Linked DNA regions of Elephas maximus indicus. The protein of the gene in region 2 purifies or fractionates together with the protein of the main gene of each other region. This does not show direct contact. Links are inferred from orthologs where the notes say so. Each region holds a gene or a part of one and is shown on either strand. Other genes may lie near its edges.

What was found.
Region 1: the proteins of KPNA1 (region 2) and ADNP purify together in Homo sapiens (co-immunoprecipitation; 3 studies listed by BioGRID and IntAct, with this or other methods). This does not show direct contact. The link is inferred for Elephas maximus indicus from reciprocal best matches to the Homo sapiens genes KPNA1 and ADNP.
Region 3: the proteins of KPNA1 (region 2) and NOPCHAP1 purify together in Homo sapiens (co-immunoprecipitation; 3 studies listed by BioGRID and IntAct, with this or other methods). This does not show direct contact. The link is inferred for Elephas maximus indicus from reciprocal best matches to the Homo sapiens genes KPNA1 and NOPCHAP1.
Region 4: the proteins of KPNA1 (region 2) and CDKN2AIP purify together in Homo sapiens (co-immunoprecipitation; 4 studies listed by BioGRID and IntAct, with this or other methods). This does not show direct contact. The link is inferred for Elephas maximus indicus from reciprocal best matches to the Homo sapiens genes KPNA1 and CDKN2AIP.

Annotation. Positions count from the first base shown.
Region 1 is NC_064843.1:18,763,118-18,771,598, reverse strand, and holds the start of ADNP (activity-dependent neuroprotector homeobox protein), read right to left. Parts: upstream 3,090-8,481; 5' UTR 2,985-3,089; intron 1-2,984. Other genes in the region: DPM1 (dolichol-phosphate mannosyltransferase subunit 1), read right to left, coding at 6,947-7,051, 7,943-8,057.
Region 2 is NC_064819.1:13,087,548-13,095,720, forward strand, and holds the start of KPNA1 (importin subunit alpha-5), read right to left. Parts: upstream 3,443-8,173; 5' UTR 3,265-3,442; intron 1-3,264. UniProt on the Homo sapiens protein: Functions in nuclear protein import as an adapter protein for nuclear receptor KPNB1. Binds specifically and directly to substrates containing either a simple or bipartite NLS motif.
Region 3 is NC_064822.1:171,793,589-171,800,971, forward strand, and holds the start of NOPCHAP1 (NOP protein chaperone 1), read left to right. Parts: upstream 1-4,111; 5' UTR 4,112-4,153; coding exon 4,154-4,268; intron 4,269-6,099; coding exon 6,100-6,186; intron 6,187-7,383. UniProt on the Homo sapiens protein: Client-loading PAQosome/R2TP complex cofactor that selects NOP58 to promote box C/D small nucleolar ribonucleoprotein (snoRNP) assembly. Acts as a bridge between NOP58 and the R2TP complex via RUVBL1:RUVBL2.
Region 4 is NC_064839.1:81,729,495-81,737,876, reverse strand, and holds the start of CDKN2AIP (CDKN2A-interacting protein), read right to left. Parts: upstream 3,388-8,382; 5' UTR 3,152-3,387; coding exon 2,880-3,151; intron 2,430-2,879; coding exon 2,299-2,429; intron 1,871-2,298; coding exon 519-1,870; 3' UTR 1-518. UniProt on the Homo sapiens protein: Regulates DNA damage response in a dose-dependent manner through a number of signaling pathways involved in cell proliferation, apoptosis and senescence.

The DNA.
Region 1 (8,481 bases), on a different chromosome or scaffold from region 2:
CTAAGAACATCGGTTAATATTATATCTTATTTATAATTCATTAAATCAAACAAAGTACCTCTACAAACGTCAAACTTGAACATATCCTCAGGTACATTGTCTTCAAATTACTCATTTTTAAAACTTGTGTAACTGTATTATCAGAGACCAAATCAGGTCAGAATCAAATCTTTTTTAAAAATACTAAGCAGTATTTTAAAAATTACAAATAATACCATGTGATTTTATGAAATACCCAAATCAGGCTACCTCTTTTTCACTCACTGTTACTTGGTAGCAAATGTCCTAAAAGAATTCTCTCTTAAGCACCAACCGGTTACCTATGTATCAAAGAGTAAATCCAATCCATTTTCCATAAATTTATTTCTGTGGATCTACGTTAGAGACATGTAACCAAGTCTTGAAAGTACTCCTTAGTATCAACAACCGTCAATCTTTGGTAGCCAAAACAAGTTCATGGAAAGGCCTGCTCTGGGCAGGGAAATCTTTGAAAGTTCTTTGAAGTCTACCAACGCTTGAGACTAGGCCATCAAATAACAGTGAGTACTTAACACACATATACACAAGAGTGCAGAATGTAATTAATTAAAATTGTCAACTTAAAATGTTTCTCTTAAAAAAGCCGTAAGTCATTTCTCTATTCTATAAGCCCACTACTGCAACCACCCCTAACCAGGTTCCTTGAGTAATGTGGCTAGGCTGAAATCGAGAAAGCACTGGCTTTGGTGGTGACCAAGAAGGGAGAAGTCTCTAGCTTCCCTGTTGCTGCAGTTCCTTCCCACCCTCCAAAATGAGTATACCCACCGGTGTGAACTGACAATGTGGTCCAAAGAGCAAAGCAGGCAATGGAGTCCAGATCCTTAAAATGGTAGTACAGGGCATAACCACTAGGCCACCTATCAGTTCACTACAACAAATACAACCCTGTGTGCATCATGGTACAAAAGCTGGGGCCTAGGTTTTGCACTGTTCATCTCACACCTATGGAAATAACAACAGAAGTAAAATCTACAGAAATCAACACACCCCAAGAAGGTGGGTGCTCACAGAGAAGACTGGTGTCAATTCTTTTCCAACGGTGGTTGGCTACGGAGATAATGATGACAAAGAGTTCAAAGTTGGAAAGAACCGAAATTTTACACTCAACTCTGTTGAGTTTGACAATGAAGACCTCAACATGGGCTTTATGCTAACCAACAAGGCTTTGCAGATCATGACACCCATCATGAAAATCACTGCTCCACTGAAGTCTAACATCCCTCAAGAATGATTTTAACTCTCAAAGAGTTGGAAAGATTTGGACTAAGAAGAAGCAGGATAATTCACAATGCCACAAACTCCTTACTCTCAGGTTTTAAACCTTCTCCTTTTCTACATGACCTTGGAAAAGAAATGGTGACACGTTCAAAGTTAAAGGTGGAAGAATTCCACAGAAGGTGAAATCTGTATACCAAGGATGTGCCAAGGCGACTTGTCAAGAACAAACATGGACTGTCTGAGGGTCAACAGTTTTGAACAAATAAAATGAGAAAACTTCTAAAATGCAGGGTGGATTCTTTAAAAGAAATAAAATCACTGCTCTTGACTCACTCCTTCGCCATGTTGCTGTCAGCTCACCAACTAAGAGTGTGTGTGTGTGTCTTGCTGGGCCCATTTTCCCATGGTCTGTAGAAGGCGCTGTGAAGCACATCCTGTTCTAACTGTGGGGCCCTTCCCCCCTCTGCAGCCTTACCCAGTGCAGAGAATGCGCCCCCTACTGACTCCAACACTCATCGCCTTTAGCCGACTTGGCTGCGGTGCATTTTGGGTGGGGGCTGGTATTTTCTTCATGGCCATAAACCAGAAGCAACAATGCAGATTTATAAAGAAACTGTATCAAGCTACCCAAGAGATTTTTTTTTCTTCTCATCTTGAAGGTTCAAGACACAGGCTCGAGAAGCATCACAGATGGGGACTGGGTGTGTGGGGATGGACAGCATTAAAATGGCAAACACAGGAAGCAGTTTGGTTCTTTTTTCCCTCCTAAGCCTTTGTCTGAGAAATGGGGTTATGGGAAGAACTATCCAGAGGAATTGGTGAACGCAAGAACATCAAGAAAACTTAGTGTGGGTAGGTGTGTGGCCAAAAGGGATCTAAGACCTTAGAGCTTGGTCTTGGGCAGAAGAGGAAGAGGAGCAATCGCGCCTTTTCCAGCAGACAGACATCCAGGTTGAGGGGGAGGGGAAGGGAGGCAGGCAGCCCAGAGGAGAGAAGAGGTGAAAAGAGTGCTCAAGCAACTACTCCCCATTCATTGCATTATAAACATCTTTTCGCTGCTTTAGGGCATTCTATTTTTCATTAACTTATTTAAAGTTGGGGCTTAGCATGCTTGTAAGAGATCGTGGTGACCAGGCATCTGGAACTGGAAAAAAGGGGTGCTGGTGCACTCTGGTTAGGATAGGACGGGAGCTGGAATGGTGGGGACAGAGAATTGCACAGGATAGGCAAAGACTTTTTTACTCCGTGCCATGCATGCTACCCGCCCCCAACCCAATGCCCCCTCCCCCAGCTCAGGGTGGGCAGACCTGGCAGAAGGTTCGTTCCGGGCACTGGGGGTGTGCGTGGGGGGCTCGGTTGGTGAGGGAGGAATTAGTTCCAGAGATGGGAGAAGATCGCTTCTTGCTGGGGGCGGGGTGGACGAACACAGGATTAGCTGCAAAAGCTCGGGGGACCAGGCCGGCTGCTGGCCTCGGCGGGCTCACGGGGCGGAGAAGGGGGTCGGGCTGCAGGAGGAGGCGCCTGGACCCCGGAGCAGCGCCCGGATAGCGGTCGGCGCGGGCCGGGCGGGCCATCAGTCGGGGAGTATGCAAAGGAGCCCGTGTGTGGTTGGAGGGCTGGGGATCCAAACAATACTGCGCCCCGCGCCGCAGGGCCGCGCTCGGCGGGGCGGCCCGAGGGGCGACGGGCCGGGCCGGGCCGGGCGCGCAGGGCCGCGCGGGGCTTACCTTGGCTCTGCCTCGAGGCGCGCGCGGGGCCGGCGTGCTCGGGGGCCGGGCGGCGGCGGCGGGCGGATGGCGGCGGCACGGCTGTGGCGGCGGCGAGGGCGCGCCCAGGGCCTCGCTGCGCTCCGGCTCGGCGGGCTCCGGCTCGCGCCGCGGCCGCGGCTGCTGCCGGGGGGCGCGGTGGGCGCAGCAGAGCGGCGGGCGGCGGCGGCGGCGGCGGCGCGAGCGGCTCCCTCCAGTCCCCGCGCGGGCGGCGGCGGCAGCGTCGTCGAGCGGTGCAGACAAAGGAGGGGCGGAGGGAGGAGACGGAGGGTGTGGGGAGAGGCGGCTTCACCGGCGCGGGCAGGCTGGCGGCGGCCGCGCTCCTCTCGCTCCTCAGCAGCGGGGACCGAGAGAGGGAGCTGTGCCTGAGGAGACGCCAAAATCCCCCTTAGCGCTGCCTGCGGGAGGGGGAGGGGCACAAGATGGCGGCGACCGGGGGGTGGGAGTTCAGCTCATGGATCCCGGCGGGCGGCGGAGGGGAGACCGGGCCGGTGGAGGCGGCGGCGGCAACGGGCGGGGGAGGGGGCTGATCCCGCGTCTCCCCTCAGCAGACAATACAAGCGCCTCGGAGCGAGTCCCCGAACCTGCCCTAGCCAAAATGGCGGCCGAGAAAGAGCGGAAGTGACGTAAGTGCCTCATTAGAATAAGAGGACTCATTGTCCAGCCAAGTGGGGGGGGGGCAGTGGGGAATAGTACCCTTTTACCCCGAAGCTCCGGGGATCGCTCCCTTACTCCCACCAATTCTTGCTCCTAACTTTTTCTGAGGGAGGGTGCCACTAGCACTCCCCGACCCTGCCTGAGGGGGATTATATAATCCCACTGAGAGGGAGCTATCGCGAGAACCAAGAGAATCTGCCATTGACCCACTAGGAGGCGCCGTGGATAATGGCCGCAGTGCGCTTCCAGGGCCCCTGTGCACGGCGGGCGCCTTCCTCTGGCCGCAGCGCCGGCGGCGGAGGCAGAAGCAGCGGGCCGCAGCACTCCCAGCACTCAGTCAGGTGGCCGTGTTGGGAATCCCTGCGCGGGCCCAGCAGAGCCTGGACTACATCTAGTGGGAGGGGGGTGTGCGGGGCAGCCCCGGGGCGGCTCCACGTGCTCGGAGGCCCCACGCCTACAGGACGGGCAGCGGCGGGAAGCAGCAGGGCACCTGGCTGGCGGTGCCTGACGCCTCCTGCCTTAAATGAGGTGTGAGGGCCTGTTGCACACGACTTGAGATGAACCACAACCCCATGGATGGCCCGACCCCTTCCTGCTGGGGTGGGGTTTTTCGTAGATGGGGGCTTATTTTTACAGAAGGTTGGCTGTTGTCCTGGGACTTGCCATTCTTTCCAAGTCACAGTGATGGTCTCTTTTTGGCCTGAAGAAAACAAATGGAATCTCCAGTGTCTGAGGCCGCTGGACTAGTGAAGCCGTTGGCATGGGCCTCCACAAGATCCTTGAAAACTACAGTTTGTGCTCCTGGGCACAATGACTTTGTGCTCTCCATCTGGATAGCATGATACCGCGCAGTTTTGCCTATGGAAATTTAGGCCAACCCCAACCAATACACTATCAACATTTTTGATGCCACCTTTTATAGTCGAGTACATCTGAGAGCGTATCTTTGGTTACGCATATTGAAAAGTAAATACCAACGGGGAAGGAATAACAGCTTCTTAGTATGTGCTGTTACACTTGTCTTGCTATTTCTCAAACCATACTTAACATCTCAAAAGAATCTGAATTGATAATATAAAACTGTAGTTAGACCTTTGTCTAAGACTATGGTTAGCTAGTTTAACGAAGTCTTTTATTTACTACAGTATTCCATTAATTTCTGAAATTTTGATAAAACCTATCTATGCAAACCAAGTAAGTACTTGAAAACAATGGCTGAAAAACATTAAGAAAAAGGGGGGGTGGTGGCAAAGCATTTCATTAAGAGGAACAAAGATGAAGAATGGATTACACATAGCAGAAGACAGGCAAAAGTTAATACAAATTTTATCTTTAGTTTTTCTTAGATATGCTTAGATTTCATACTGTGACCATACAAATAGAAAACATCAGGGTTTCATCCTTGACCTCATTTATAAAGCAAAAAGGGATGCTGGATTCAGATGTGTTTTAGACATTTTCCCAGTATGTAAGTCATCAGATTTACTACAAACTTGCATCTAAATAGTCCAGATTCTTTTCTAAATGACTGCTCAAAAACTTTCTTTACAATAAATCCCAATGGTGATGACACTGTAATAATTGTGGGAGTAAGAACTGAAAAGGTTAAAAAGACAAAAGTTACCTACTCTAGTGAGGTATGAAAGGCAATACTATACTGTGGGTTTTCTGAGGTAGTTAACTTAATCTCTTCCACACACTGGATACTGAAAACTTAACTTTGCATTTAGGTTAGAAAGAATAGATTTGGAACAGAGTAACACTGAAAATCATTGAGAATATTTACATTTCTATTGTTAGCTTAAGACTAAAGAGTTTACATCAAACACTGATGAATTTCCTAGTGGAGGGCACTGGGTTTTTGGTTTTTTAAGGAGATTCCCATGAGAGGAATCATTTCTGAAAGAAAGGTGGGTCCCCCGGTGGGTCAGCTGAATAGCTCTGGGCAAAAGGGAAATAGTGGCCCTTACTGGAATGTGTACTATGCAATCAACTATGGGGAGGGAGGGGATTTTAATGTTAAAAATGACACCAAAGAATTCATAGTCTGGCATTCATTTCTGGTAGGATCTGTTTTGAGAGAAATGCAAATGACAACTCAGACTTTTAAATTTCTTGGGCAGCCAAATTAAACCTGGAAAATGCAGTAATTAAGAATACTGTTCACTCGATAGGATTATTAGAAAACTTAGAGACATCTCTTCCTTTTACTTGCAAAGTTGAATCAACCTGATCTTAACCTTATTTGCTCAAGGTGTGTCTTATCCATCCAAACTTTAAAACCTACAGCAGGTTCCAAAATCTGTGGTACCATTAGAAACTGACCTTTTTTGAAATACCTACCTTTAGAGAAGGTAAGTGAAGAGAACATGTGCACTGGGCTTTATTAAACAACCTGTGTTTTAACTGGCAGAACAACCTTCTGAATGGAGAGAAGAGCTATAGGGAAGGGATTTTTTTTTTTGCATAGTAGAAAAGATAAGTGCTTTGGTGAGGGTCTTGAAATAATATAAAAACAAATATTTTGAGAGAAAAATCTTTATAAAAGTAATTCAGTAAGATATTTTGTGCCTCAGTGCTTTCAATATTTTTCCTTACTTATAGAGGTTATTGCTTAGAAGCGGGGGGGGGGGGGGGGGGGAACCCAGCCGTGCAATCAACTGCCACCATGCCGTTTCCAATTCACAATACATACTTAGACCTGCTTTAGTAGAAGAAATATTTCATCAGTTCAATAACTGCAAAGAACCAAAACCCTAAAATTTTATTCTAAATGTATTGTTTTAGCTGGTTTAAGAAATATGAGATACATTTTTGAGCAAAGGGCAAAAGTGTGTATTTTTTTTTTCCAGTTCATACAGAAACGGCCATTTACATTTCATGAATATAATTAACATTTCTCTTCTGATGTATGTTAGGTACAAAGAGCTATAATTCAGTTCTTATAAAGAATATTTTAAACTCTTCCCCATATAAGATATTCTGCGTTCACATACTCTAATGAAAGTAGCAATATTTTATGCAAAAGAAAACCATATACATCTATTTATAGGTCGTAACAGTAAAATGAAAATTGAGAAAACTGCTCATTTTGATAATTCAATTTGAAATATTAAGTGGTGGAATTTCTTCAGAAAAAAAGATTTACATGAAATTCACCTTACCTTAGGATTTACGCTCTAAGAGAGTACATTTTATAAAAATCATCAACCAGGCTTCTTTAATGCTTTAATTGAAATGAACATGATAAATATACATGAATTCTTTTATGTAGTAGCAAAGAGAGTCAATAATCCTTTCAAGAAAGAGAGTATTTCATTTCCTCCCAACTTGGATTCACCATAAACACGATCCACAAATGATATTGGAACCTGGTTAAAAAAATACATACATTAAAGTCAGTCTTGCTGCAATTCAAAGAAAAACTATACTCCACAAGTAAAATGGCCTTTCACTGAATTTTTTTAGTTATGTGTCAAATTTAACTATCACTATGTTTTAGCATTATGTGAAAGGCTTGTTAACTGCCACAAGACAAGTGGCATTTCAAGTTAGCCATTTTCTTCCTTTGATTAAGGGTAAAAAAACAAAACCAGTACCCAGTGCCCTCGAGTCGATTCCGACTCATAGCGACCCTATAGGACGGAGTAGAACTGCCCCATAGAGTTTCCAAACAGCGCCTGGCGGATTCGAACTGCCGACCCCTTCGTTAGCAGCCATAGCACTTAACCACTACGCCACCGTCACTATGAGTCGGAATTGACTGGACAGCAAGGAGTCTCTGATTAAGGGTATCAGTGTTAAAATGAGGGCCGTCTTCCCAAGGAGCTCACTGGCTCACCCTAAATATTAAGATATCTCTCTGCCTCGCTTGGTATTCCCTAGTAATTTTCATCTACTCATGGAAATTGGCACATAGGATTCACCACTCACTCTAAAGTAGGGTGGTTGCTAGCTATGGCAAGAGGAAATGCCATGAAGAGACTCATCCCTCCAGTGCTAATGGTCAAAAGAAAAGGCCGGGATGGACAAGGTACCAGCAACATTTAATTATTTATATGTGAGTGCTCCTTTCCATTAACGTGTTAAACCTTGGTCGGTCAAGCATATTTAAAAGGGATTTGAATTTTCATTTTTGAGTACATGGACAGTCTAAACAACGGGAAGTCTTCCATGTTAATTTGGTAGTATGAAGGTTAAAACAATTTAATATAAAAAGTCTAAAGCTCACTGTTTCCTTATGAAGGATTTTCATCCCATACCTCGCCAATAGTGTAATTCAACTGTCTCGCCCGCACAATCATCTCCATTTGGAAGACATAGCCCTTAGAAACACAGTTCTCTATTAATATCTGTAGAACTTCTTTGCGGTATAATCTGTAAGAAATTAAAATTATATGTGAACATGTGGATAAAAACACTTGCCTACATATCTTGACCATTGAAAATGTTTGTTGGTATTTGTAGAGCCTAAAACTTTCACTGCCAATTTGTATATAGAAAAGTTCTCATAACTGATGATTATGATGCATTTGTCAGGAAATATTTGCTAAATCATTTTGAAAATGAATTTTTAAGAGAATTTTCTATCATACTATCTGAAATTATTAAAATATGGTAAAGTGAACCATTTGAAGCAGAACCTCCCATTATTTTCAGTTTTTAAATTTTACTTTTAAAGTTGAAAGAGGAGAAAGTGTTCCAAAATATTGGCACAAAAGAATTGACAGAGGTTGATAAAGTGGCACTATAAACTGGATGATAAGAAAGACCCCAGTTACTGAGAAAAAGATCTTCCTGA
Region 2 (8,173 bases):
ACTCAGCACATATCCCTCCTCATGCTAGAAAACCAATCATGATGAGTAAGCAGACTGATTGCATAGGAAGGCAGCATTACTCTTGTTATGTGTGGGAGATTACCCCCATTATCCACATTCTGGATTACTGCTTGCTCTCAAGAACTGTTCCAATTAGTCAACAACACTAAGTCAGAACTGTATTTTCATTTAGGTCTGTTCTGTAGCATTGCAATATCTTAGCAATAAAAAAAAAAAAAAAAAAAAAAAAACACAACACCTGTACTTTCCACCAGTCTTCATCTCTGCTCTTTCAATGTTTGACTTGAAAATTTTCTAACACAGGCCCTATTTGGTCCCCAGCTGGCCTGGGGCCATCTATCTCCTGCTTACTGTAACAAGAGTGAAATCAGCTGAAATCACCTAACTGAAGTGTTCACCATTTCTGATATTTTCTTCCATTATGGCTGAATTCATAATATCCTGCAAAGTACACCGAGATCTTAAAACAAAACAAAGACAGTAACGAGATTATCTTTAGGTCATCTTTACTTGCATGGTCAATCAAAAGTTGATTTTATACACAGTATTCACACATACTTCCAAAAATAATTTGACAGATTTAAAGGCAAGACGTCAGAAAATCATCAAGACTTTATTTAATCATTAATTCAACAAACAACATGCTAAAACACTGGAGATAAAAAGAATAAAATATTTCTTGGAAGAAGTACAGCCAGAAAGCTCCTCAGAAGCAAGAATGGCCAGACTTCATCTCTCCTACTTTGGACATATTATCAGGAAGAACCAGTCCCGGGAGAAGGACATCATGCTCGGTAAAGTAAAGTGTCAGTGAAAAGAAGAAGACCCTCAACAAGACGGACGGACTGACTCAGTGGCCGCAACAACAGGCTCAAACACAGCAATGACTCTAAAGCTGGTGAAAGACCGGGCGGGGTCACTAGGAGGCAGAGCCGACTCGATGGCACCTAACAACAACAATTCAACCAGCAATATGCTGAAAACACTGGAGATAAAAAGAATAAGATGTAATTCCTGCCCTCAAACGGAAGAGGAAAGGTAAAATAAGAAAATAGTGAAGGCATAAGAGAACACAAAGAAAACAGGCCAGGAAACAACTGAGCATAATTCCAGGCTACCTCGCAAAAAATATACATAACACAGTTGAGGCTAAGGAAAATTACAAAAATTCAACACAACTCAGTTCTGAGCCTCCTGACAGCCAAAGTGTAAAGAGAAACAGAACGGCATTAAAACAATCATGATCTAATAAAAAGCAGTTGTTTAAAAAACTAAAAATAAAAATGACCGAGAAAAAAGCCTGGTACTGAGCTCGTAAGAATCTGTCTCTAAGGTCTCTATTTTATGAAGATCGATGAATAAATAAGAAATAGTGTCTCCAGGAGCAACGAAGTTAAGATTATTTTCATGTCCTTTCTTCTACGTCGATCCTAGATAAAAGTCAAGGTACATGATATTATATCATAGTTCTATGAAAAAATTTATTTGAGAAGCTAAAGTAACATTATGTAAGTATACTGATTTCATGGAATAGGTTTATTTTTGTCATTTGGTTCATTCTAGGTTTCTATGTTTTGATTTCCTATTAGACTGTAAACTCCTCAAGGATTATACTGTCTGCCTGCATTTGAACTTCCTTTGCTATTTAGTAAAGTGCTTTACAGTTTCTGCTCAATTACAACGACTAATAAAATGCCCTGCAGTCAGTATTTTATATTGTTAGTCTTTCCTGCTACATTATAAATTCCATGAGGACAGGGACAGTGTCTTGTATAAATTCCATGAGGACAGGGACAGTGTCTTGATGACGACTATATCTCAGGCACATGATCACTCCATAAATATTAGCTGAATAAATGAAATAAAACAAAACCCGTGAGTATTAGAGAAGAAATCTTAAAATGGAAGTGATTTAGGGCTCTAAGGCTGGTTCCAACAAGGCCTGAATGACCTTAGGTAAGTTACTTAACTTCCCCGACCTTCGATGTTTTTGTCTATATAACAGGACAAATTAATATTTACTTTTTAAAAATTTACTTCAGAGTTACTGACAACATTAAATGTTTTAATACATGTAACATACTTAACACTACGCCTTCAAAGGCGCTCAATTAATAGTCATTCCTCTACTTTCTCTCATGTCCTGCACGTCAAAAACATGAATCGCACATAAAACAGGGCCTTCCAAGACTAAATTATTTCAGTAAAAATAAAATAGAGTTCCTTCTCACTTTGCTTTGAGAAAATGTCATTTCTTCAGTCTTTAAAATCGGGGGAAAGTAATGTGAGAATTACTTTCAGAATATTACAGAAGGAAGAACAAATTAAGGAAACAACAATGCCAAAAATAAGCTTTGAAGCATGGGGGGTGGGGGGCGCCCGACGGCGGGACCACCTACCCATCCCCTGCTAAGAAATGGGGGCTTTGAAGACACCGTTTATTTAAGAAAAAGACTGAAAAACATCATTTAGCAGCCTTTACAGAAAAAAATTCACAGTCGTTGATTCTAAATTTAAATCTTAAAAGTCAATTGTTTTGCAATCTGTCATTGAAAAGGGGCTCGTTAAGTACTTCCTTCCGTTCGACCCTAAAACGTTCCTTCGCGACGATTTCCCTAAGTCACCGTTGAGTTTCCTCACGTTTTGAGCTGAACCTGACACCTGGCTGTTTCCCTCGAGTCGCACACGCCACGCACACGCGAACTTCTGTCATTCCTATAATTACCACAGCCCCGTCGGCCGCTTCGGGCCCCGGTTGTTATGACATCTGTAAACTGCAGTCGTTCCTGCCTCCTCCCAGGCCGCCCGGCCGCCGCTCCGGGCTGGGCCCCAACTCGTCGGTCCCCACGACGGCCCCTTCCTGCCCTGGCGACGGTTCGTCCTCGCCGCCCTGCCCTCCCCGGCCCGGGTCCCCGCGCTCCGCGCTGCCCGCCGCCGCCCCCGGCCGGCCTCACCCCGCCCCGCCGCCTCGGCGCCCCGCGGTCCCCGGCGCCGCTTCCAGCCCCGCCTCGACCGGCGTTCCTGACGGCGATCGCGCCCGCGCTCCCCACCCCCACCCTGGCCTGCGCCGGCCGCGCGGCCGTTAGTGAGGACAGCCGGGCCCGTGACGCACGGACGCGCCGCCAACGCCCGGGCCCGGGAGCCGAGCTCGAGCCCGGCCGGCGCACGCCCTCACGCCGGGGCCTCCCGCGGGTCGCACCGAGGGAGGGGGAGGGGCCGCGGCCGCGAGGCCCCAGCACTCACCAGGCTGAGGGCAACCGATCCCGGTGCCACTGCTGAGGTGAGCCGCTCGCCCGCCCGTCCGCTGTAGCTCCTCTGCGCACAACCTCGGAGAGCCGGCCGGCGCCGCGGCGGTGCTCACCAGGCCTCGCTCTCCGCCGCCGCGCACCGAGCAGCGAGACCAGCTCAGCCGGCGTTCGCACTGCGCCTGCGTGCGGGGGCCGGTCCCCGCGCCTGCGCGCTCCGCTCCGCCGCCCTGCCGCAGAGGCTGCTGGGAGACGTAGTCTTCCACCAGTGTGGCACTGAGCGCCGCTCGCCGTCTCCAGTCTGTAAGGAGCCTGGGGTAGGGGAGGGGGTTCGCTGTCCACAGCGCGGGTTGTAGATTCGTGGAGGCGTGACAGAGACGGTACTTCTTACTTTGTATGGCAAAGTTATGTTTACAAATCTGTCTTCACTAAACTTTTTCAGGGCGGATGAAGCCTCATTCACCTCTCCATATTTAGCTTCTGACATGGCAAGTACCTAATACGTGTTTATTGGATGAATGATGTATTGAAGCCCCAGGGGGCATTTAAAAAGTGTTAAAAGTGAGTGGCCTCAGGTCTAAGGCGTTCGCGTGCTGCATGGTTGCAGGAAGTCCCTGTGTATTCCACTTCTAATTCTTTCCTATCCCCATTGCCCGATAATATATGAGTAAGAAATTATATGAAACCCAAATAATTGTTTTGCTCTCAATAAGTGCTCTCAAACGAACATTTAGGGCACATAAATATTATGGTTAAATTTAAGGGAAAAAATATATAATGGAATTCTTCTTTTGAGGGAGCAAGTAAAGCAGTGGCTTCAAAAGAAGAAAGATGGAAGCCAACCAAGCAGAGGTCATGGAATAGGAAGTCTCACAGACGACATGTTTTATCAAATCAATTTAAAAGATAGGCGGAGAAGCCAGGAAAAAGAGATGGGGTAGGTTATTTACATTTATAAGTGAGGGAAAGACGGGAGGACCATACCACCTGAATCCTAGGTTAGGCAATGTTTGTATGTCCTGGATTTCTGTCTTCCCTATCAGCTTACCCACTGTGATGCACTTAGACGGATCAGACTGGAAGTTTGAGCAGGGGTGCTGAGGAAGTGGAAGGTGTTTATGGGAGAGACTTGGGAGCAAGGATGCCTGACCACAGCTAAGCTAAGGGCAGATCACCTATTCCAATTGGAAACTAGGATTATTCTGAGCTGGACTACCATCTTTATGGAAGCTAGTTGATTTCCAGTTCATCCTTATTCCTAGCTAGGGTACAGCCCTTGAGGGTCCCAGCCAAGTGTGGGGTATAGTTACTAGGGCCTCTTCTCCTTGGCTTGAGAGCAAGAGGTTTGGTTTTGGTTCTCCTTGGCCATGCCTCCCCAGCCCCAAGGGACAGCCAAAAGCTCTGCTCAGTTTTTCAGCCACTGCTTTCAGAATCTGTCATCTCAAGTGGAAAGCTGAGCTTCCCCTTTTTTCCAGATCTTGAACTCACAGGTTTTCACTGCCTTGGTAGCTCTTCAGTGCCTTAATCTTTTGTATATTTTGTCTAGTTGTTCTCTGAGAGTTGGTCTAATACAGCAACAGTATGCCATTGCTGGAAGCAGAATTCCTACATCCATGTTACTTTTACAAAAAACGTTATCATACATGGTGTTTTACAAACTAATGACTCTCTTAGTACATCTTTTTGTATTTTGAGAAATTAAAAAATTATAAAACAGTATTTTTGCTATGATAAACAATGCTGCTATGAACATTCTTATACAGGGAAACTGCTAGATCCTAGGAGGTTGACTATTTTCACTAGATGTGCTGCGAAGAATTCTAAGATGGTTCCAACTATCTCTGCTTCCTGGTGTTGCCTTATATAATCCCCTCCCCTTGATTGGGGGGCGGGAACTTTGACTTCTACCGGATAGAATATGGCAAGGGTGATGGGATGTTATTCTATGACTGTGTTTCACTATGGGAGACTCTGTCTTACTAACTGAGCTAGAGACTGGCCTGGTGGCCTTGAAGAAGCAAGCTGCCATGTTGTGAACTGAAAAAGGTCTCCTGGCAGGAAACCGTAAGTGACCCCCAGGACTCTGGGGAAGCCTCCAGGTCAACCAACAGCCATAAAAAGCCAGGGCCCTCAGTCATCGACCACAAACCCAGTGTCGTGGAGTCGATTCTGACTCACACAACCAGAAGGAAAAGAATTCTGCCAACAATCAGAGAACTTGGAAGCAGATTCTCCCTCAGTCACACCTCCAGATGAGAACACAGCCTGGCTGATACCTGATTGCAGCCTTGTAAGACCCTGAGCAGAGGAAACGCCTAAGCTGTGCCTGGACTTCTGACACCCAGATATTGTGAGCTAATAAATGTGTTTTAAGCCACTAAGCCTGTGGTAATTTGTCACACAGCAGTAGAAAACTAATACACTAGGTATTGCTGGATTATTTCACAAAGTAGTTGTACCAATTTATACTCCCACAGTTTATAATACTGTCTTTTCTACATATTTTTGCTAACATTTAGAAATGCCTGATTTTTTTTTTTAATTTTTGCCAGTCTGGTGTGGAAATAAATAATATATAATAAACAATCATACACATGCATTATTATTTTTATTTAAAAACATGAAAAATAGATGTTTACTTGAAATTATATAGTTTTATTTCTTTTCTGTTACATAAATGCTATTATTTAAACAAAAGAAATATGTGTGAAAAACATATAACAATATTTTTATGATGTTTCTGTCCTCTAATACAGAAATTTATTTTAACTCTTTTTTTAATTCCATTACATATTTAAATTTTATAGGCTATATTATTGTGTGTTCTTAAGATACATAAATGTGAGACTTTTTAAAAAGAGAATGTAAATACAATGGGACTAATTAAACAGATACTACCTATATTAAAAAGTAACAATGACATGTTTCTTTCTGTCCCAAGATACAGTAGGATATTTTTACTCTTTTAGTTGCCTTTTCTATTAATGCATCTCTGAACTCCCTGGAGCCTTTAGGGTATCTTTCTTTTCTTTTGTGTAGTGGTAAAACTGAATACAGTCAGACATAAAATTAATTTCGACTTGCAGCTCTGCTCTTATAATGCCTACATTGCACTGATTCCTGGTGTCAGTACAATGCAATGACATTAAATATTCTCTCAACAAACGTGTTTGAGCATAAAATACTTAGGATTTTACTTAATAACACAGCAGTTCTTTTAACTTGTAGGAATTCATTTCCAGCTTTCCAAAATGTCCATCCACTTTGTATCTACAAGCTTGCTTTGGTAAACTAGCTTTTGTCTGTCAATCGGGTCCTTTGCATCTATAATCATGTAGGTTCTCCATGTCTAAAATGCCCATCATTTTTAAACACTCTGAAATACGTTGAATGTCATCATAAGTTAACTCTCTTTTCCCCAGGCAAAATCATTTTAAAGCATAGAGGTGATTTGAATTGTGAAATCAAACTTGGAGTCCAAATTAGTCAGTTTAAAAATTATGAAGCAATCTTACTTACAAAAAAATTTAGTCTTTTTTTTTTTTTCTATGTGAGTTTTTATTGCAATCTACACAGAACATTGAACAACTCAGGTGCAGTCCGTTCATCCTTTTTCTAGGCTCGTTATGGCCTCTTCAAGGATTATCAAACAGTTTTAGAAAACAGTATGTATGTTTCTGTTTTACTGTAATCCTTGTCCCCTTTCTCATTCTCAATGTATTTCCAAATTGGAGCAGGATATTCTTCTTGTTGCACACTTTGAAAATGTGATTTTATGGCAAACAAATATTTTAACGTCTTTTCTACGGCCAGCAATGATGATAGTCATATTGTAGGCACATGTCTAAGGAGATTATCTCTGTCATGGATTGAATTGTCTCCCACAAAAATGTGTGTCGACTTGGCTAGACCATGATTTCTAGTATTGTGTGGTTGTCCACCATTTTGTGATCTGATGTGATTATCTTATGCGTTGTAACTCTTAACCTCTATGATGTTAATGAGGCAGAATTACAGGCAGTTATGTTAATGAGGCAGGACTCAATCTAAGGGATTGGGTTGCATCTTGAGTCAATCTCTTTTGAGATATATAAGGGAGAAACGAGCAGAGAGGAGAGCGGCCTCAAACCACCAAGAAAGAAGTACCGGGAGTAGAGCACGTCCTTTGGATCCAGGGTTCCTGCACTGAGAAGCTCCTACACCAGGGGAAGATTGATAACAAGGACCTTCCCCCAGAACTGACAGACAAAGCCCTCCCTGGGAGCTGGCACCCTGAATTCAGACTTCTAGCCTCCTAAACTGTGAGAGAATAAACTTCTCTTTGTTAAAACCATCCACTTGTGGTATTCCTGTTATAGCAGCAGTAGATAACTAAGACAATCTCATTCCATTTCTATGAAGTGAAAAATGTGATTAAGTGCTTTTCCACATTTTGAAGAAACTAAAGTGACCAAAACTTTCATTATGAAAGCTGCCATGTCACATGTAAGCAAACCACACTCCTCGTTTAGCAGTGTTGTTTACAAGGTGTGCAGGACGTTCGTTGTTTCTAGTTGCCATGGACTTGGTGCTGACTCATGGCGACACCATGTGTACAGAGTAGAGCCGCCCCATAGGGTTTTCATGGCTGTAATCTTTCAGAAGCAGATTGCTAGGCCTGTCTCCCAGGGTGCCTCTGGTGGGTTTGAAGCACCAGAGTTTTGGCTAGCAGTTGAGCACTTAAGTGTTTGCACCACCCAGGGACTCTTCGCAGGACATTTAGTAGATGAAATCTTTTCATTTTCTTCGTTAAGAAGTTTAGAGATTGAATGCAAAATTAGCATTTGCACTGAAAACACTTAAATGAGCCAAGTCAAGTTTGTATTTGGATATCAACAATCTTGTTTTATAGTTTTGTGGTTTCATTA
Region 3 (7,383 bases), on a different chromosome or scaffold from region 2:
TATATATAAGGTTGCCACGAGTCAGAGCCCACTTGATGACAACAAGATTTGGCTGATTGCTGTCTTGAGTAGTTTCCCTTGTCCTGCTGTTGGTCATATTTCCTATAAACTGGTAGTTAACAGTAGGGGTTTGGTTAGAGAAAGGTTTAATTTTGGGGGTGGGGTGGGGAGGTAAGAAAACTTATTAGTTGGCGCTGTGTACTTCCTGATGCGTTACAGCAGGGACACACAGTATCTGGTAGTTACACTTTTCATGATGTTAGGATGATTGGTGGAGCCGGATTTTCTCAGTGTGATATATTCATTATGAATTTTGCAGTCAAGCTTTCACTAAATGGTTTTAGCATCTGTCTCAGTTATCCAGCGCCACTATAACAAAAATACCACAAGTGGATGGCTTTAACAAACAGATGCCAATTCCCTCACAGTTTAGGAGGCTAGAAGTCCAAATTCAGGACGCAAGCCCCAAAGGAAATCTTTATCTCTTTGTTGGCTTTGGGGGGAAGGTCTTGTCATCAATCTTCCACTGGTCTAAGAGAGTCTCAGCACAGGGACTGGGGTCCAAAGGACATGTTCTGCTCCCTGTGGTTCTTTCTTGGTGGTATGAGGCCTTCATCTCTTTGTTTGCTCCCCTCTCCTTTTATATTTTGTAAGATAAAAGGTGATGGAGACCATACCCTGGGGAAACTCCCCTTAGATCAGGGCTGTGACCTGAGTAAGGGTGTAACATCACTCCCTAATCCTCTGTAACATAACCTGTGTTGTTGTTGTTGTTAGGTGCCATTAGGCTGGTTCCGACTCATAGCAACCCAATGCACAACAGAACGAAACACTGCTCAGTCCTGCACCATTCTTAGAATCGTTATGTTTAAGCCCATTGTTGTAGCCACTGTGTCAATCCACCTTATTGAGGGTCTTCCTCTTTTCCGCTGACCCTGTACTCTGCCAAGCATGATGTCCTTCTCCAGGGACTGATCCCTCCTGACACCATGTCCAAAGTATGTAAGATGCAGTCTCGCAATCCTTGCCTCTAAGGAGCATTCTGGGCGCACTTCTTCCAGGACAGATTTGGTCATTCTTTTGGCAGTCCATGGTATATTCAATATTCTTCGCCAACACCACAATTCAAAGGCATCAATTCTTCTTCAGTCTTCCTTATTCATTGTCCAGCTTTCACATGCATATGATGCGATTGAGAGTACCACGGCTTGGGTCAGGTGCACCTTAGTCTTCAAGGTGACATCTTCGGTTTCCAGTGCTTTAAAGAGGTCCTTTGCAGCAGATTTGCCAATGCAATGTGTCCTTTGATTTCTTGACTGCTGCTCCGTGCGTGTTGATTGTGGATCTAAGTAAAATGAGATCCTTGACAACTTCAATCTTTTCTCCTATCATGATATGGCTTATTGGCCAAGTTGTGAGGATTTTTGTTTTCTTTATGTTGAGGTGCAATCCATACTGAAGGCTTTGGTCTTTGATCTTCATTAATAAGTGCCTCAAGTTCTCTTCACTTTCAACAAGCAAGGTTGTGTCATCTGCATAAGGCAGGTTGTTAATGAGTCTTTCTCCAATCCTGATGCCCCATTCTTCTTCATATAGTCCAGCTTCTGGGATTATTTGCTCCGCATATAGATTGAATAGGTATGGTGAAAGGATACATAGCCTAATCTTACCTAATTAACCCATGCAGAAGTTAGGATTTACAACACACAGGAAAATTACATCAAATCACAAAATGGAGGACAACTACACAATACTGGGAATCATGGTCTAGGCAAATTGACACATATTTTGGGGGGACACGATTCCATCCAGGACAGCATCCATTAATAACTGTAGCCTTGATCCACAATGTCATGGATTGAATTATGTCCCTCCCCAAATGCGTGTATTAACTTGCTTAGGCCGTGATTTCCAGTATTCTATGATTGTCCTCCATTTTGTGATTGTATTTTATGCTAAAGAGGATTAGGGTGGGATTGTATCACCCTTATCAGGTCACATCCTTGATTCAACCTAAAAGGAGTTTCCCTGGGCTGTGGCCTGTACCACTGTTTATCTCTCAAAAGATGAAAGGAAAGGGAAGCTAGCAGAGAAAGAGGACCTCATATCACCAAGAAAGCAGCACCTGGAGCAAAGCCCATTCTTTGAACCTGAGGTTCCTGCGCTGGGATGCTCCCAGACCAAGGGAAGACTGATGACAAGGACCTTCTTCCAGAGCCGACAGAGAGAGAAAGGCTTCCCCTTGGGCCCTGAATTTGGACTTCTAGCTTACTGAACTGTGAGAGAATAAGCTTCTCTTTGTTAAAACTATCCACTTGTGCTATTTCTGTTACAGAAACACTAGATGCCCAAGACACATGCCAAAGCAAAAAAAACTAAACCAGTTGCTGACGAGTTGATTCTGAATTATGGCGACCCTTTGTGTTGTAAAGTAGAACTGTGCTCCGTAGAGTTTTCAAGGCTTTTAGAAATATGGCCAGGCCTTTCTTCCTAACTGTTGTTTGGGTGTGTTCGAACCACCAGTCTTTCGGTTAGTAGTTGAGCACTTAGCCACGTTGCCACCTAGGAACTCCTGCTTGATGCATGAGGGTTGCAAAATGGTGTTATTCTAACTCTGCATGTATTGATCAGTTAGAATTATCCTCTAAAAAGAACTTTCCCACATCAACTACTTGGTTGTCTGAAACATAGTTTTTGCAGTAAAGATTAAGAAAAATGCTTAACGTTTGCCTTTATAATTTTCAGAGTAGAGGTGGTGGTCTAACAACCAGCAAAGGCAACTAAAGAGAGGTTTTTAATTTTTTTTGTTCATTTATTTTCATCATTGTCACAGACTTATGCTTTTTTTTTTTTTTTTTTAATGTATTTGATGTATTTCAACCATCTATAGACAGTATTCTTCTTGGTGTTCTAATTGTCCCAACTTTGGCTAGTAGGAATCTCTTGGAGTTCGCTTCTGGGTCCTTATGACATGCCCTAAATAGTCTTTGAGAGCTTCATTGCTTTCTGATACACAAGATGTCCCAGGTTCATCGTTCCTCTAAAATTTAGTGTTCCTCATTAGTTTATTTTTGCTGTAAACAGTAATTATCTTTTAAAAAGATAAAAAGTGAGAAAAGCTATCTTTTATATTTACCACCATATTTTATAAAGTTGTTTTTCTGGTTAACATCATTTGCTAGAAGGAAGACTGATTTTTGCCAGTGCATCTACTAGCCTGACTTGGCCAGATGTGAATGTCTAAAATTCTAAATTATTGTTAAGAACCAGAGATGCCCCCCTGAGGTGATTCTGGTCTCAGTCAATCAACAATTTGCAAAAGAGATACGGGACATTCCCAGAGGCTAGAACCCCAGACTACCGAGGTGGGAAGATTTTCAGTTGGTCAATGGATCAATGAAAGAGCCAGTTAGCAAATACACATTTGTTCAACTTCTCTCTCAGTACCTACTGTCATTTCTCCCATAATTATTTGTGCCCTACGTTTTTTAATTTGGTTACATTAACTAATTATAATAATAACAGTAACGTGGCTGCCTGTGCCCTTACGTACATTTCAGTCCTCTTCCTTTTTATCCCTCACGACAACCCTGTAAAGTAGATATTATCATCCCCATTTTATAGAGGAGGAAACTGAGGCTCAGAGAGTGATCTGCTGAAGGTCACAGGTAGCAAGCAAATGGTTGACCTGGGACTGGATTTAACTCTGGCTGACTGTGGAGCCCCTGCTCAGAAACGAGTAGAAAAAAAGATTGGTTTAAGATTTTTGCTTTTGGGAACTCCGCAACGTCTAGAAGAGTCTGGGCATACTGCAGGTGGTCAATAAATATTGTTAAAAGCATAAAGGGGGGGCAGCCCCATGCTGCGCTCTTCATGTCACCATTTATATATTTTGTTTAAATAGAGCCTTGCCAGCTCTTTTTTCCCCAAGGGGCTTCATGGTAGGAATGCCTGAACGCTCCTGCGCTGCCCGGTAGCTCCGCCAGGTGTCGCTCCGCTAGGTGTCGCCCTCGCCCACTCCCCCCCCCGCGCCCTGTCCCCCTCGCCCCGCCCACCTCCGAGTTTCTTCCAATGGCGGCCCTGGTCCCGCCTTCTACCCTGGCCTCTTCCCTACATCCGGCCTGGCCGGCTCGATCTGAGGGTTGCGGGAAGCATGGAGATGCACGGTCAACCCGACCCCAGGCCGAACTGTTCTTTGTCCACCCCGGGCTGCTCGGGGGTGTCGGTGTCCAAGGAGCTGCTGACGGCCGGGAGCGGCGGCCTCGGAGGTGACGGGCGGTGGCGGTGGCGGAGTGGGGCGCGCACGTGCGGCGGGGCGGGGGGTGGCGGCCGGAGCAGCCCGGGGCCGGCGGCTGCCTGCTCAGGCCCGTAACCCTGAGGGGAGCCCCGTGGGTGCTTCAGGGCTGGGTCAGTCCCGCCATCGCGGAGGTGGGGGGCACCCAGCACCGGGCCGGGTCCCAGAGCCGTGCGGGCCCTAGAGCTCCTCGAGCCGGTGGTTCTTATATTTGCCACGCGCCCTCCCCGGCCCCCGAAGCTGGGGCGCACCCGAATTTCTCGAAGGAGAGGGCCTTAGGGTCGCCTGTGTGGGATGAAGGAGTTGGCTGATGGGGGACCGGCCAATGGATATTATGGATAATAACCCACCTCCCCACGCCCCCAATATACCACAGAACTACTTGGTGCTGCTCTCTCGTAGACGGTGCCAGGAAATCTACACAGCATTTCAAACAATACAGAATTAAAAATCATGGGTTCGAATCCCAGCTCCATGAGTAATTAGCTGTGGAACCTTAAGAGGGTTATTTACATTCATTAAGCCTCACTCTTAACATTTTGAACATGGAGGTAGTAGTGACACAGTGGTTAAGCTGTTGAGCAGATAATGGAAAGGTCGGCGGTTTGAACCCACCTTTGGCTCCATGGGAGAAAAGACCCTGTGGGGCAATTGTGTTGTTAGGTGCACTCGAGTCGGTTCTGACTCAGAGCGACCCTATCCTGAGCCATGCTCAGATCATTGCTCAAGTGTCAATCCATCTAGTTAAAGGTCTTCCTTTCTTTCACTCACCCTCTGCTTTACCAAGTGTCTTAGTTATCCAGTGCTGCTGTAACAGAAACATGACAAGTGGATGGCTTTAACAAACAGAAGCCAAAGCTTATGTAGTGTTTACTGTACTCCAGGAATTATCTAATTTAATCCTCACAACAATCCCATGAAGTAGGCTCTGTTATCTACATTTTATAGGGGAGGAAATGGAGGCATGGTTTATCATACAGATAAGTAACTTGCTGGAGATCATTCCGCAGGAAAGTAGTCATACTGGGATTTGAATCCAAGCAGCCTGGCTCCAGAATCCATGTTCTTAATACTAATCCAATTGCTAGGCTTTCAGTAGCAATATCAATAAATGTTTGAAAGCTTTGCTTTGAGGATGAACAGGATTTTGGTATCAGAGAGTGAACAGATTTTCCAGGTATTAGAAATAGGGTGTGCAAATCCTTGAGTTTTGAAAGACAAATCTTGTTCTAGGATTGCTGATGGGCTGGAGAGTTGGGTTGATTTGAGGAGTAGTGAGAGATGAAGCTGAAAGGTGGAGGTGGAAGTAGACACAAAATTTCTCCAAAGGGCTATTTTGTCGAAGCTGGACATCTTCAGGGGAACTAACCATGCAGGCATGTCTTACAAATGAAAAAACTACGTAATGCCCAGAAAGGTTCGGTGACTTGCCCAATATTACACAGCAATGCTTTCTGGCTTCACTGAACAGTTATTGTATTCTTTACTGCTTTCTCCATTCTGTCATTACAGGCCCACATCTGTCTACTGATGAACTTCTGATCCAGAAAGATAGTTTAGTGTGCATTTATGTCACTTAGCCTTGGGGTATAGATGTGTGTGACAGGCTTAAGAAAGGGGTAATAGATAAATATAAAGAACTAAACGATGAGAAACAAGTTGCAATGGAGCTTGGAGCACCTCTTTTTAAAAAAATATCTCAGGGGATGTGGAGCAGTCAAGACTTGAGACTGGTCATGGGAGGTTTGCTGATAGGCCCTTATTTTTTATGACATAGTAAATCATGTGCATGTGTGTTTTTCCAGGAATATGGGACAGGTTGCTTATCAACTCCAAGCCTAATTCCAGAAAGAACTCTAATCTTCAAACAGTTCGGATAGAGAGGAGTCCCTGTAAGTACTCCTCTGTTTTCTTTCTTAAGTCTTCTCTGATGTTTGCTCAGTTTTGCCTAATTAAGCTGTTACTTGATGGGACACTTTCTGTCTTCATAATCAGATATCAAGCCATAGAGAGTCCCTTGAAGCAACTCTTACTTGGAATTTCTGTTGCCTGAAGAGGGAAACTTTCTCCTGAAAAAGATGCTTGTAGGATGAATTTTTGGAAGTAGAAAATAATTATTATTACTCTCCATAGGAGATATTTTTAGAGGTTAAACACACAAAAACCAAACCTGTTGCCATCAAGTTGATTCAGGCTCATAGCGACCCTAAAGGACACAGTAGAACTGTCCCACAGTGCCTGGTGGATTCGAATTACCGACCTTTTGGTTAGTTGCCATAGCTCTTAACCACTCTGCCACCAGGCTCATAAAGATTACAGCCTGGAAAATTCTGTAGCGCATTTCTCTGTCACACACGCGAGGTCACTATGAGTTGAAATCCACTCGCCATCACCTAACAACTACGGGATAGCTCTCTTCATTAATTACTCCTTAGTATGTTGCTCTACTGCACAGTCACGAGTGTACACGCTCAGACAGTATTTACATGACCGTTCATGTAATACTCAGTGTCTGTATAATTCAATCTTAGTGTTAACAAGAGAGAATAAAGACAAGAATTCAGTGAAAACAGTGTAAATGATGCATGAGGTTATTGCTTCTGTAAACTAAGAAAGCACCAGTACTCCGAGAGAACTTAGCATTTCTGATGAGAAGCGTGCCGTCTTTTTTATCTTTGTTATCCTGTATGTAGTTTCTTTTTTCCCTCTGGGCTGCTTTTCGAAATTTTTTCTTTATCACTGGTTTTCACACATTTGATGATATCCTTGCAGATAGTTTTCTTTGTAGTTGTGGAGCTTGGGATTTGTTGAACCAGATCTGTGAGTTTATAAAAAATAGTTTTCATCAAATCGGGAAAAATTTTGCCCATTCTTTCTCAAAATACTTTTCCTGTTCCTCTTCTCTGTCTCCTTCCCTTCAGTGACTCCAAGTACCCATAATTTTGTGTTTGGAGTTGCCCCACAGATCACTGACTCTTGGTTCTTTTTGGGGTGGGGGTGCCTTTTTTTCTCTGTTTCATTTTGGATAGTTTCTATTGCTGTGTCTTCAAGTTGACTGTTCTTTTGTAGTGTGTAATCTGCTCTTAATT
Region 4 (8,382 bases), on a different chromosome or scaffold from region 2:
AAAATAGTTTGAGGCAACTATTTTTTTTTTTTTTTTTTTATTCTTTAACAGACGTTCAGCATTATGGGCAACATTCTAAAAACCTTAAGTTTCACAGACTTTCAGACATTCAAATACTGTGGTCCCCTTTTCTTTCATGTGGAGATTTATTCAAGCTAAAAAAAATAAAGCATGGTAGACAACTTAATACATTTTCACCAAATTCAAAGTAGTACAAAAGTTTTAAGACTACAGAACTACACATCGTACCTAATGCATCATTAAAAATAGAAGACAGTATTTTCTTCAGCAAATAAAACAGCATACTGGTATGCTGTTAATGCATACCTTTTAATGTGTACTGTCATTTGTAAATTATTTACAATTTCTACTTTGTGAAGAGAACTAGAATGTAAATTTTCTGCAAAACTGGAAAAAAGGAATACAAAATTTGTGAAAGCCTGTTTTATATTGTACAAAAGTAAGCCAGTTTTTCTCTCCAAATACTAGGTATTTTATGCAGTGATCTTTTGAACACATTACGGTAATTCTTGAGGATGCTTTAACGCTGGCGGTAAGTTTACAGGCCTTGATTCTTCATCAAGAAGCACTAAATCTTCTATTTCACCGCCTCTGTATTTCCTTTTACATATTTTTACCACCACCTTTTTCTTGAGAAATAACTTCAGTGCTTCTCTTGATGCAACAGCTTTTGCATTTTCTTTGCTTTTTCCACAGCCAGTGCCCAAATACACAGACTTGCACCTTAATTCACAAACAATACTTTCTTGAGAGCTCTTATTTTGAGGCAGATCTGCCAGTTCTTTTAGTGGGACAAAAAACACATCCAGTGTTGCTTTGAGAGCCTCAACAGCTGCATTTAGGAGCTCTCCATGATTCACATTGGGACTAAAGCCACCAACAGCTACCAACTTCCATGCTACCGTTTTATACAGTCTATTAAAAAAAGGTTGCTTCTGTTTCACATCTTCATTTGTTAACTTGCAACAAGAGACTCTGACAGAACTCTCACTTGACTGTGAAGTACTTTTAGAAGGCAACTGTGATGTGCTAGTCTGAGAACTACTCTTAGAAGCTAGCTGGGACACACTTGCTAAGGAAGTGCTTTTGGAAACCAGAGATCCACTGGTCTGGGGGCTGCTCTTGGAAGCTAAAAGTGATGCAGCTACCTGGGAAGTGCTTTTGGAAGTCAGCAGTGATGTATTTGTTGAGGAGCTACTCTTGGGAGTTAGCAAGGATGTGCCTGATGAAGAACTGTTTTTAGAAATTGATGATGAAACACTTGCCTCTGAACTAGTTTTAGAAGCTAACCCACTTGAAGCTGTCTCTGAACTAGGTTTAGAAGACAAGAGTGGCAATTCTACTTCTGAGCTTCCGGAGGAGCCCAACAAGGGCACCTGAATCTCTGAGCTGCTTTGAGAAGCTGAGACTGAAGAGCCTTCCAAAGCACTCTTTTTAGGTGAACCACTTTGTTGCCTGGAATCAGTGGATTGGGTCACATGACTATTCACACTTGATTTCAACAAAGAGGAAACAAACAGTGCTGAACCATGTTTATCTGAAGCTTCTGATTCAGAAACTTTTCCAGACCCTGCCGTTGTTACCTGAGAGGAAATGCTGCTGCTGCTTTGGCTGGAACTGGGTCTATCCCCATCACTTGTAGAGATAGTCTCACTCAAGGATATGCCAGAGCTAAGACTTGAGTTCCCACTATTCTCCGATTTGGTGGACGACCCCGTACATGTTGAACTGTTTTCCTGCTTAGCTGATGCATATTCTGTTTTGGCAGAAGTTTTTGCATGATCTTGCTCAACTGCAGAATTGTTTTTTCCTTCTATGCCTCGTTTTTTGGATGGTTCTTCTACCCCTTCTAAAAGGAAGGAAAACAGAGATATGTGACTAAGTCTGCCTAATACATATCCACTGAAAATTTATATAACAGATACTTATTAAAATAAGGTCAGAAGGTAAAAATATTTCAAGACTATTAGTTTAAGAAGCATGAAATAACTTCATTAATTTCTAAAAGTGTTGAATAGCACCATTAATTTCTAGCATTAAAAATTAACAGCAACAGACACAATTATTTGACATTTCAAAATCTAAGGCAGTCAAACAAAACTATCAAATTCAGAGCCTAAAAACATAGAGATATATATTTTAGATTTAACATTCCAACTTGATTAATAGCATTAGATAAATTCTAACTTGTTAAAAAATTAGTAATAACATAAAGCCAAATTATATCAAACTTATGCTCTAAACTCCTATGTATGTTCACATCTATGATCTGCTAACCATTGCTACTCGATATCCCTCTTTTCTTCACCTTGGCAACCAGTTCATCTCGTGTTGTATGGATTGGAGCATCTGTCACTTTGATGCCTTCAGCCATACTAAGTATTTTATCCATAACTTTTTGAGGGTACCTGAAAAAGAGGGGAAAAGTTCACTTTAAAAAAAAAAAACTTTTTCCCTTCTAATTTAATACTTCTGGTGTGCAAAACAGGCCAAAGGAACTGGACTTCCTGGTTGTAATCGAGATAATGTACTGCCAGGAACCGTTTCCTGGACACTCCGTCAACAAATGACCCAGGGTCTGGGAGGCAGGGTCTATCCTCACCAACCTGTGATCTACTGTCCGTCGACAACAGCTCTGTCAGCTCAGCGCCAACAACTTCGGCAGCCCCACACCACGGGGTCCCTCCCCAGTGTCTATCACAAGCCTGCTGCTCGCGGAGACGCCCTTCTCAGCCTTCGAGGGCAGCCGGTCCCGCGAACTCCCGCCTTCACAGACACTTCCCCGCCCCACAGCCAGCGGGTTTTCGCTGAGGGCTCGGGGAGAGAGGGCAAAATGGGGGAGCCGCTTCCTCACTCACCGGCACCCGAGGAAGACGTGGTTTGCCCAGGCCATGGAGAAGGAGACGAGCTGCTGCAGCTGCCGACTGCGGCTCCCGCTCTCGGCGTCGGCAGCTTCATCCGTGTGGCTGGAAGCGACGCCGCCGGTGGGGGCCAGGTCCCCGGCGTTGCGGAGCAGAAACTCCCGGCGGTGGCGCCAGTGTTTGTCAGTCTCGCCGTCGCAGCGCAGCGTCTCCACCCAGAGAGCCACCCGCGGGTTCTGGCTCAGGTACTCCGACACCTCCTGCGCCATGTTGGGCCTGCGGGTCGCGAAGGCCGCGAGCAGACGCTGCACCGGGACAGAGGCGGGGGCGCGGACGCGAACGGCCCTGTCACCGCAGCCGCAGCGGGGCCCTCAGAGAACGCCCCTCGCAAGGCCCAAACACCAGCGCTGGCCGCCGAACCGCCCACTTCCGCCCGCCGCCGGCTCCTTCCCCTTTATAACCTCGCCGCCCAGAGCCCGCGCGTCCTTCCGGCGCGCGCCGGCTCTCCCAGCATGCTTTGCGGCGCCCGAGCCGTCGCGAGGCTGCGGCCGGATCGGCCTACGTGAGGGGACGGGGTTGAGGGCGGAGCGAGGCGGCCCTGGGCCTTCCGCTGCGCGGGGCGGGCCGCGAGTGGACTTCGCCCGGGGAGCCCTGGACCTTGGCGGCAACCCAAGCGCCCCAGCTTCGCTTTGTGACGCCGCGCACGCTCTGCCCGACCCCTTCCCCCGGAAGCCTGGGCTAGGGTGGTGGGAGAGCCGGGAGGGAGGTGGCGCGGGGTCGGGGGAGGGGCCGGGGGCGGGCGCGGGGAGAGCCGGGGGGCGGGCGCGGGGTCGGGGGGCGGGCGCGGGGTCGGGGGGCGGGCGCGGGGTCGGGGGGCGGGCGCGGGGTCGGGGGGCGGGCGCGGGGTCGGGGGGCGGGCGCGGGGTCGGGGGGCGGGCGCGGGGTCGGGGGGCGGGCGCGGGGTCGGGGAGGGGGAGCCGGGCCGCCCGCCGGAGGAGGGCCGATAGTTGCAGTTCGCCGGAGGCTCCCTCGCCCGGTGGTTGACTTTGAGCCGCCGGTAGCTGCGCGGCCTGTGGGTCTCCTTCCTGAAGACTCCTGTACTTGAGCGGGCCGGACAGAAACCATAGCTCGCCCTCAGTTTCTTTTCGTTATATCAGAAAGCAGGTTCTCGTACAGTTTTCAAGTAGACAAGCCCAGCAGTCCGAGACGTTCTAAGGATTTAGGAACTCGGGGGCGCATGTTACCTGAAAGAATAAAGTTAAACGACCAGTCCAGTTCAGACTTGCTTTGTGGAGCCCGTTTGCAGCTAGTCCTAGCCGTCTCGAGTTCTGTTTGGTTACCCCAGTTTCTTAGGTCACTCGTTCAACCCCAGCAATACCTGCTAACTCTCGCTGTCTTTTTTGGTCACTAACAATTGTGCACCGAGTACCTTCAATCTGCGTATTATTCCGTTAAATTAGCAAACCCTGTTACCTCCAACTGGACCGATAGCTGGGCGGTGATGTGGAAACGTAACCTGTTAATTTCTACCGTCTGTAACCTTTCCCTCTTAGAGCCATTTTTCTGCACTTCAAAATTTCCATAGTTAAAAAATGTACTATCACTGCCGACCGGCTTATCCTTAAGTTTCCAATTTTAGGTATGTACTTGTTGTAAGTGGTATAGTTAAGAGCTACTGGTGCTAACCAAAAAGATCAGAAGTTCAAATCCACTAGGCGCTCCTTGGAAACTATGGGGCAATTCTACTCTGTCCTATAGGGTTGTTATGAGTTGGAATAGACTCAATGGCAGTGGTTTTTTTTTTTTTTTTAATGAATTATGGAAACTTTGGCGTGTAGCGGTTAAAAGCTACAGCTGCTAACCAAAAGGTCGGTGCTCCTTGGAAACCCTATGGAGCAGTTCCCTGTCCTTTAAGATCACTATGAGTCGGAATCCACTCAACGGCAATGGATATGGTTTTTTTTGTGTGTGTGTGGTATTCTAAATTGTAATGAACCATACATTAAAAAAAAATTTTTTTTTAATGATAAATTAGGAAATTGAAAGAAATTTTCCTTTCAATAAGTGATCTGGGGCTTTGACCTAAAAATGCTGGCATCAGGATAAGCAAAAGGAAAATGGTTAGATAAGATTAACAAAAAATATGATTTACATGCACACTGGATTAATCAAAATCTAGCTGTTATATGAAAATAACAGTATTGCCCACTTTTCTGCCATTTTAAAAGAAACTCCATAAAAACGGACAAATTTTGATCACTCGCTTGAGATTTTGCTTCTAGTTTTGCTATTCTTTTTTCCTTTGTTAATTGCTGAAATTTTAGAGGGGTGGAAGGATTGCAAAGTCCTTTCTATTTAGAAGACTAGGAGAATCTTACTGTTTTTCCTTTTATGAATTCTTTGGCAAGGCGGTGGGGAGCAGCAAGGAAAAATCTGTGCTCAAATAGCTGGGTAGTATTTGTGGATGTTTAAATGGGTAATGTTTCTCCTTAGTTTTATTTAATTTTGAATAGGTAATACATTCACATGGTTCAAAATTGTACCAAAAAGTTATACAATGTGAAGTGTCCCTTTCATCCCTGTTTCAGTTAACCTGTTTTTCTAACCAGAAGCAACCGATGAGACCTGTTTTCTAGCTAGAATTCAATATTTACATATGTACACAAATACAGTACCCCCTCTTCACAGAAATGGTAACATAACTATGCACAGTATTCTGCGCTTTTTTCAATAGGAGATTGTTGGTGTGCTTACTAGGATAAAAAAAAAAAAAACTAACCTATTGTTGTTTAGTTGCTTCTGACTCCTAGTGACTCCATAGGACAGAGTAGAACTGCCCCATAGGGTTTCCAAGGACCAGCTGGTGGATTCGAACTGTTGACCTTTTGGTTAGGAGCATGTCTTTTTTTTTTTATTAACTGTGCTTTAAGTGAAAAGTTTACAATTCAAGTCAGTTTGTCATACAAAAACTTACACACGCATTGTTATGTGACCCTAGTTGCGCTCCCTGTAATGTGACAGCACACTCCTCTCCATCCTGTGTTCCCCGTGTCCATTCAACCAGCTCCTGTCCCCATCTGTCTTCTCATCTTGCCTCCAAACGGAAGCTGCCCACATAGTCTGATGTGTCTACTTGAGCTAAGAAGCACACTCCTAACCAGTATCATTGTATGTCTTATAGTCCCGTTTAATCTTTGTCTGTAGAGTTGGCTTCAAGAATGGTTTTAGTTTTGGGCTAACAGAGAGTCCAGGGGCCATGACCTCTGGGATCCACCCAGTCTCAGACTATTAAGTCCGGCCGTTTTACTAGAATTTGAGGTCTGCATCCCCCTTTTCTCCTCCATCAGGGATTCTCTGTTGTGTCATTGGTGGTAGCCAGGTACCATCTAGTTCTTCCAGTCTCAGGCTGATGGAGTCTGGTTTATGTGGCCATTTCTGTCTCATGGGCTCGTATTTTCCTTGTGTCTTTAGTGTTCGTTCTCCTTTGCTCCAGGTGGGTTGAGACCAGTTGATGCATCTTAGATGGCCGTTTGCTAGCTTTTAAGGCCCCAGACGCCACTCACCAAAGTAAGATGCAGAATGTTTTCTTAATACACTTTGTTATACCAGTTGACCTAGATGTCTCCTGAAACTATGGTCCCCAGGCCCTGCCCCTGTTACTCTGTCCCTTGATGTGTTTGGTTGTATTCAGGAAACTTAGCTTTTAGTTTAGTCTGGTTATGCTGACTTCCCCTGTATAGTGTGTTGTCATTCTCTTCACCTAAAATAATTTTTGTCTACTATCTAATTAGTGAATACCCCTCTCCCTCCCTTCCTACCCTTGTAACCATCAAAGAATGTTTTCTTCTGTGTTTAAACCTTTTCTTGAGTTCTTCATAATAGTGGTCTCATACAATATTTGTTTTTTTGTGACTAATTTCACTCAGCCTAATGCCTTCCAGATTCCTCCATGTTATGAGATGTTTCACGGATTCATCGTTGTTCTTTATCATTGCATGGTATTCCATTGTGTAAATATACTGTAATTTGTTTATCCATTCATCCGTTGATGAGCACCCTGGTTGTCTCCGTCTTTTTGCTATTGTAAACAGTGCTGCAGTGAGTATGGGTGTGCACGTATCTATTCGTGTGAAGGCTCTTATTTCTCTAGGATATATTCCAAGGAGTGGGATTGCAGGATTGTATAGTAGTTCTATTTCTAGCTTTTTAAGGAAGCGCCAAATCGATTTACAAAGTGGTTGTACCATTTTACATTCCCACCAGCAGTGTATAAGAGCTCGAATCTTTCCACAGCCTCTCCAACATTTATTTTGTGCTTTTGCATTAATGCCAGCCTTGTTGAGATGAGATGGTATCTCATTGTAGTTTTGATTTGCATTTTTAATGGTTAATGATCATGAGCATTTCCTCATGTACCTGTTAGCAGCCTGAATGTCTTATTTGGTGAAGTGCCTGTTCATATTCCTTTGTCCATTTTTTAATTGGGTTATTTGTCTTTTTGTTGTTGAGGTTTTGCTGTATCTTGTAGATTTCAGAGATCACTGATTAGATTTGTCAAAGCCAAAATTTTTTTCCCAGTCTGTAGGTTGTGTTTTTACTCTTTTGGTCTTTGGATGAGCATGAGTGTTTCATTTTTAGGAGCTCCCAGTTCTCTAGTTTCTCTTCTGGTATTTGTACATTGTTAGTAATGTTTCGTATACTATTTATTTATGCCGTGTATTAGGGCCCCTGGTGTTCCTATTTTTTCTTCCATGATTTTTATCATTTTAGATTTTATATTTAGGTCTTTTGAGTTTGTTTTTGTGCATGGTGTGAGGTATGGGTCTTGATTCATTTTTTTTGCAGATGGATATCCAGTTATGCTAGCACCATTTGTTAAAGAGACTGTCTTTTCCCCATTTAATGGCCTTTGGGCCTTTGTCAAACATCAGCTGGTCATAGGTAGATGAATTTATGTCTGGATTCTCAAATCCATTCCATTGGTTTATGTATCTTTAGTTGTACCAGTACCAGGCTGTTTTGACTACTGTAACAGTCTATTTCTTAATCACTGTGCCACCAGGCCTCTGCTTATTAGGATAGAATTAATTAATTAATTTACTGAATGTCTAGGGGAGGTATCATAGATTGAATTACATCCCTCCAAAAATGTGTGTATCAACTTAGCTAGGCCATGATTCCCAGAATTCTGTGGTTATCCTCCATTTTGTGAATGTAATTGTGTGTTAAAGAGGAATAGGGTGGGATTGTAACAGGACCCTCATTCAGGTCACCTCCCTGATCCAAGGTAAAGGGAGTTACCCCGGGGTGTGGCCTGCCCCACCTATTATCTCTCAATAGATGAAAGGGAAGCAAGTAAAGAGTTGGAGACCTCATACCACCAAGAAAGCAGCACCAGGAACAGAGCAGTCGTTGGGACCCAGGATCTCTGTGTCTGAGAAGCTCCTCGACCAGGGGAAGATTGAGGACAAAGAGCTTCCTCCAGAGCCGACAGAGAGAG